Drosophila melanogaster: one gene and its partner. The protein of the gene in region 1 interacts with the protein of each later gene in a pairwise test. Each region holds a gene or a part of one and is shown on either strand. Other genes may lie near its edges. The genes, in order: CG15908 and Icmt.

Region 1 (3,080 bases):
CTCGTTGCTAGAGTAAACAATCTATATTGAGTCAGCCAGCTCATCCGTTTAGCCGATGTAAAATATTGTTTAAGTTAGCTGATGGACTTTTGGAAACATGTGATACATATTTTCGGCTTACTAAAAACATTTTTTTTATTATTTTTTAAGTGAGTCATTAGAAAGGCAGTCAGTAATTTCTCAAAAAAATGTGACGCAAATTTCAGACGAAATATGAGCTTATGCGACCTTTTTAAAATCTACCAACCAAGCAATAAAATAGTAGATTGAGTTTTCAGAACTTAAGGCTTCTTTATTTTGGATCATACATATATTAAATGTGGGTTAATAGACAATGCATACATAAAGGCAACATTAGTTTAATAACTATTAAATATGGACATTTAATAATCATAAACCAACAACTCTTTTTCATTTTAGAACAAAAATGTACGAAGCGCTGGAAGAGTCTGCGCGACAAGTTCGCCCGCGAGATGAAACTATGTCAGGAATCGCGCTGGCGTTACTTCAAGCAGATGCAATTCCTGGTTGACTCCATCCGCCAGTATCGAGAGTCGCTGCTCGGCAAGTGCGCCAATGGGAGTCAAAGCGCCAACCAGGTGGCCGATCCGTCGCAGCAGCAGCAGGCGCAGCAACAGACCGTCGTGGATATATTTGCACAGCCCTTCAACGGCAGCGCCACAACCTCGGCCCAGGCACTGACCCATCCGCATGGTAGGTGAACCAGCATTTCAGCACCAGAGATCCCTGCTAAATACTTCGGTCTCTTGCAGAAATTACTGTCACCAGCGATGCACAGCTGGCCACTGCCGTGGGCAAGGACCAAAAGCCATACTTCTACGAGCCGCCGCTCAAGCGAGAGCGCAGTGAGGAGGAGCACAGCGACAACATGCTCAACACCATCAAGATTTTCCAAAACAACGTCTCGCAGGCGGTCAGCGCCGAGGACCAGTCGTTCGGCATGGTAGTCACGGACATGCTCAACACGCTGGGCGTGCGACAAAAGGCAGAGGCGAAGGTGCACATCATCAAGTATCTGACGGACATGCAGCTTCTGGCACAGCACAACAAGTACTAACTGTCGGGCGGCTGTCATCGGCAGCTGCTGCAGCTGCTCCAACTGGAGAGCGTTCTGCCCTGAGATCAAACGAGAACAGACCCACGGCTACCCACATCCACATCTACACGGGTTTGGGGGTCCTGTGCGGTCATTTTCTACAGTTCATAGGTCTTAAAGTCAAACTACAGAATAACATTAGACGTAACATCCCACAGCGTAAACCATAACGCGTAATGATACTTCCCCACGCCCATGTAGACAAACATATATATTTATATGCTTAGTTGACCCCATGATCGGTGATTTAATTCGCGCCCAGTTCTCAGCTCTGTACAAAAAATGCGATTGAAAATAGCGATTCTAGAATTATGAGTAGCTTGTTAAAAGACCGTGGAAACACTTTATATGCAGCGTATTGTAAATTTTGACTACGATTTAGTTGTAATTTGCCATCGGGTCTTAGCTCTAAAACTAAGTATACACGTAAAAGTTATTTTAATTTTATAAGTTCTGTTGTAATATGCCGAAAACGCTTGAAAGACACTTTGAAATGCTTAATTAAGTGTGACAAAGGGAAACATAAAACACCTTTTTCATAGTGATCGCATATTACACACTTTACATGGATACGAGTAAAATCGAAATAGTTGCCGGCAACGCCAGTTGCTAAACATTTTTAATGATTAATTGTGCAATTATTTGGTATTAAATGAAACATTTGAAAGTAACCGACTAGTTTCAATCGGGGTGATATGGCAACGCCGCGAGCCAGCGGCATAAACAAAATCAGCTGTGCGGGCTAATGATTGATTTTATGTAATTGAAATGGCCACAAAATCGGATAATGCTGACTCAAAATCGGACAAATCAAAGGAATCACTAGATGACGCATGGGCAGTAAGTATCCAGCTACGTTAACAGATCCGAGACTCAGGAATCCCCTTTACAGATCCGACCCTGTCATCTGTACAAGGAGGAGTACGACGACTGCACGAGTTTTAAGGCGCGCTTCCACCAGTACTTTATATTTGGCAAGGACACAGATTGCTCCCAATGGCTAACTGATTACCGTAACTGCGAACGATATCAGCAGTCCAACGGGAACGATGTGGCTGCCGGCAAAGCGGTGATTAAAAGCGAGGAGGAGCGCCGAAGGATCCGCCTGCGCGCCCACTTTGCCAACGACACTTGGCAGAAGCGTAAGAAGCCACCGCTGGATTGGGCTGCTCCTCTGCCGGACTGGATGGAGAAGCGAAACGAGAATACCTATCTTGAGCTTAAGCAAAAAGAGCTCTCTGGACAGGCGGCGCCGCAAGGAGAGGAACGCTCGCTGTGCACGATCATGTGAAGATAAATAGTAAATTATTAGTTAAGAAAAGAAGGAAGTTGTTTCATTGTTCTTAAAAGATTTCAGTTTTTCAGCAATGGTTTCTAATAATCGGCGGTCTGGCAACGCTCGTGTCAGCTGTATTTGTTTCTGATAGTGCTGCTACATTTATTAACATTTATTACATTTATTATTATTATTGCTTTCATTAAACACGTAAAGACACATTTTTCTTATAAAACTCATTTGCTTTCAAAGTCTAGGTGTTTGTATTACGAATCAAACAAGTTGTGTAAAATCTAATAAACGTTAGCAGTGGTAATCGGTCTAAGAACAGTAATGCTGAGAATAGGTAATCTAGCTAAAAAATAGCTGTATTGACGACACATTTTGTGCGATACTTCAGATACGGGCTGATATCTACCTACATACCTATTCCGCATCCGCATCCCAACGCTCCAGCTTTGCCTAAAATGCTAAAGGGTAGCACACTGAAAGCCCTGGACGTCAGAATCCTATGGCCCCTTATTGAAACAAGGTCAGCAGGTAAATGTAAATTACATAACCCGAGGCCGACTCCAAACCGTAACATTGCGGCAGCAAAATTGATCGTGACACTCAGATTGCTCTTATCCTGTTGCAGTGGAGGACACCAGCGCAGCTTCTCCAGCAGCACCCACCGGTCCTACATAA
Region 2 (3,884 bases), on another chromosome or scaffold:
ACAGCAGGATTCGGTGCAGGAATTCCCGGTCACGAAATTGGCGGTGCATGAAATTGTCGATACCAATGGCGCTGGGGATGCATTCGTTGGAGGTTTCCTATCGCAGTTTGTGCAGGGCAAGTCGCTGGATGTCTGCATCAGGTGCGGAAACTATGCAGCCGGGCACATTATCAAGAATCCAGGTTGCACATACTCCGGCGAACCGGAGTTCGTTGAGTAAAACCGGATGCGGAAGCTACAGAAACCTTACACACATCGGACATCGAAGGAGCCAGACAAAGCGCAGCAAGATTTGCAATTGTTAATTAAGTAAATGAGAGTGACTAAAAGATTTTGTTAACACTGATAATTGTTTGTACATACATATAACCCACACTCAGACACATACAAAAGCATACACATGTGAAATGACATGAACAAATAGAGAGAGTGAGGCTTGTGTCTTATAGATAGAGCAATATTCGAATTTAAATTGATAATAAAACAAAAGTGACACGCGAGCGAGACACAAAAGTCAACATTTTGTACAACTTGAAATCTTTGTATTGATTTTCAGATAAGAGGTGAAAGGAGGTTTATTTCCTCATCCTTTTATTTATTGGGTTTCTTATCCATTTATGGTATAAGATACCAATCGGGAGAATAATGCATACGACTACAATGTCCAAAGTTACAACGAGGAGTCATCAGCAGATAAGATTATCAACAACGATAGATAGACGAGTTAAACATTAAATAAAACTTGTGAAACACGCAGCTGTTTCATTTGCTTGCTAATGCGGCCCATAAATTCACAATTAACCCAAAAAAGAAGATTAGATTATCAGTTCAGCAACATGCTTTGACTAGTTTATGAATACAAAACAACATGCTAAATATTAGAAAACTTATTTGGAAAAAACAATGTGCTTGTAAATCTTTTTTTTTTGCTATACAAAAGAGAACTGCTGTATACCTTGTATACCTAAACCTAAAATAGAATTTTGTTTTGTTTGCCATGGCGACTTGTGACATTGAACCCCAGATCAGAGGCACTAATCGACCAGATAGCCCCGGATGAAGGGCAGGCCCGTTGGCACCCGCTTTTGATAGCGCACATAGTCCGACTGGAAGAAGTTGAGCAGGGAGTACTCCTCGACGTAGATGCGATCGTGGAAGAACAGCCAGCTGACCAGTGTGTAAATGCATATGCAGATGGGATTCAATAGCACGATCTGGGTTCCGATGGACCACCAGAACCAGCCGACATAAGACGGGTGGCGGCAGTAGGCGTAGATCCCGCTTGTTATTAGCTTGTGTTCCGAGTGTTTCTCATTCTGGACCTGTAGGAATAGATGTGTGATGAGAAGTTTACAAGCTATTTAGTTAGTTTTAATTAATAATAGTGTGATAATTCCTTAAGTGCAATAATATTTATATGTCCATGTATTAACAAATCATCACGACTAACCAAGTGAGTGAAGCTCCGGCCAGCTGTGATGATGGCTGCCTTGCGAACCATCTCGCCCAGCAGGCACAGGACCACGCCCGCCACCCAAATGTATCCGTATCTCTTGAACTGCGGCAGGTAGTACACCTCTAGTGAGAACTCGATCCAACTGGCTGCCGCCGCCAGTCCATAGTGCACAGAGTGGTTCAGCATAAAGGAGTCGAGACTGAGAGTGCGCGGATTGGCAAAGGCGATAACGAGGAACTCCGAGTAGTGGAAAAGGGACATGAAGCATCCGTAGGCGCCAAATTGCTGCCACTCGGTGGGAGCAAAGCAGATGACCAGCACACTCACGGCCATGGCAAAGCCCAGGAAGGATGCCCTAATGGCCACCTGTGGTGCAAGAATAGTTAGCGCCATAGCACTGATAAGGTTTATCGCGTCTCATCGATTGACTCACCTGGTAGTCGTGGTTCCGCAGCACAAACCGTATGATCATGTTAATAAGGGCGTAGTACAAAAATGGACCCCAGAGGACGGCGCCCCACACCTGTGGCACCACTCCATAAAGATTCTGGGGCACCGAGGGAATCAGGACTAGAGCTGCAGTAATCAGAAAGCAATATAAACTGATGCGGCCTTCGGAACACAGGCTGGTGCCACCGGCCCCAGGAGAAGCCACTCGGCTCTTTGCACACATAACTGGGGAATCGGGATTCTTTTTGTGCTGCTGCTGTGCGCAAAAACACGGAAATTGAGGTTTTTTAAAACATTTGCTTGGTTTAATGCGCCAAAATGTAAATAAACCGGCAAAGCTTTCGATAACGATAGGCAGCACAGTGAATAACCGCTAAAGTATAGGCTCGTGATTATCATAGAAATCAGTAATATAATTCTTACAGCTTTTAATAAAATAAATCATAAATCATAAATTAAATTAAATAAATAAATATTTAACACCACGTTTAGCAGAAAATGGTTTTAAAAATAAATTATGCGGGCAATTCTCTTTAGCCTATACCCCCTGTAACAATAAGCGATAGTTATGCACTGTTACATATCGACATATCGAGTTCTGAGGATTTAATTTAATTTTATATAGTCAGAAAAAATTTAATAGTAACTTAAATGAATTACATTTGTAGGTATTCACCTATACCTTTTTAAATAAATTTCTTAACTGCACGCCTTGCATCGATATTTTATCGATAACATGCTCATTTTAGCGCCGTGCAGGTTATGTAAAATAACAAGTAGAGTCGTTGAGATCAATTAAAAATATATAAAAACTCGACCGATATTCTGTTAATATCAAGCCATGGTCTTCCTGAACCTTCCCTTGCTGGTACGGTCCCGTGGTCCGGACGAATTCTGGCGGAAGAGACGCATCTTCAAGCTGGCAGCGGTATGTTTCCGAATATCGTGGCCACAATAAAAATAATGAGCTCTTAGTGCTTAATTTCTGCAGCATTATAGAAGCCGCACTCGCAATGTCTACTCCTTCGCCATCCGGAGTGTCCATAGGGCACTGGCCTATGCCACCAAGGGGCGAAAGCTAAAGAAACTGGACATGGCGCAACTGTGGAGCACACGCGTGGAGGCGGGTTGTCAGCAGTATGGAGTAGGTCTGGAAACCTTCAAAGAGGGCCTCGCGCGCTCCGATATTCTGCTCAACAAGTGGGTACCACCGGAAAATTCCCATATCCTTTAACAACCTATAACATCTTTCAGAAAAGTCCTATCCGACCTCGCCATTTGGGAGCCGCGATCTTTTGAAGCTCTAGTAAAGATCTCTCGAGAGCGGGCAGCTGTGGAGGGAATGCCAGACATCAAACGGAGATCGGCATTTAACCAGGTCTATGGACTGAGCAACCTGAAGTTGGATTAACATAGCCTTAAGTAGGAGTTCAAATATAGATATTTGTATGTTTTAAACGTGTAATCTTTAATTTTCACTTTGAAGGGAGTAAAATCGTTTGGGATTTGTTCTTTAGATTAGTTTTTAACTCCGAATTCGTATTTACATTTAGTTACATAATTCGTAACTTCTGCTTGCTGAATGAAATTTGATACTAAATCATTAATTTATTTACTGCAACTACCTTTTCCGCGAATGAATCCAATATTTTTTCGAGTAAAATGACAAATGTGATTAATGACAAAACACCTGTGCTGCTAGTTTTAACAAGTAACTCGAAATTTATTCAATGACGGTCCATGCGCAATGCAAACAAAAATATTGCATGAGCTTTTATTGTAGTTTTTAGTTTCGGGTTTGTGGGTGTGTTACATACTAATAAAAAGCATAGAATTCATAGAATTGTGAGACAGTGTCCGGAGGCGAGATCTACTCCAATTTGGCCAGGATGTCGGACTCGCGGAAGAGGAACAGCTCCTTCTGGTCACCCTCTAGGTTCACCTTGGTGCCACCGAATTCGGGCAGCAGAACACGATC

What was found.
Region 2: the proteins of CG15908 (region 1) and Icmt interact in a two-hybrid assay, tested with the Drosophila melanogaster proteins (one large-scale study listed by BioGRID).

Annotation. Positions count from the first base shown.
Region 1 is NT_033778.4:6,666,300-6,669,379, forward strand, and holds CG15908 (uncharacterized protein), read left to right. Parts: upstream 1-1,850; 5' UTR 1,851-1,885; coding exon 1,886-1,957; intron 1,958-2,009; coding exon 2,010-2,408; 3' UTR 2,409-2,439; downstream 2,440-3,080. Other genes in the region: Adf1 (Adh transcription factor 1), read left to right, coding at 421-714, 774-1,078; CG9410 (uncharacterized protein), read left to right, coding at 2,861-3,080.
Region 2 is NT_037436.4:13,016,626-13,020,509, reverse strand, and holds Icmt (isoprenylcysteine carboxyl methyltransferase), read right to left. Parts: upstream 2,245-3,884; 5' UTR 2,130-2,244; coding exon 1,890-2,129; exon of another isoform or gene 1,823-1,889; coding exon 1,451-1,822; exon of another isoform or gene 1,400-1,450; intron 1,323-1,399; coding exon 1,035-1,322; 3' UTR 823-1,034; downstream 1-822. Other genes in the region: Adk2 (adenosine kinase 2), read left to right, coding at 1-220; mRpL20 (mitochondrial ribosomal protein L20), read left to right, coding at 2,748-2,834, 2,898-3,106, 3,161-3,317; CG11267 (uncharacterized protein), read right to left, coding at 3,777-3,884.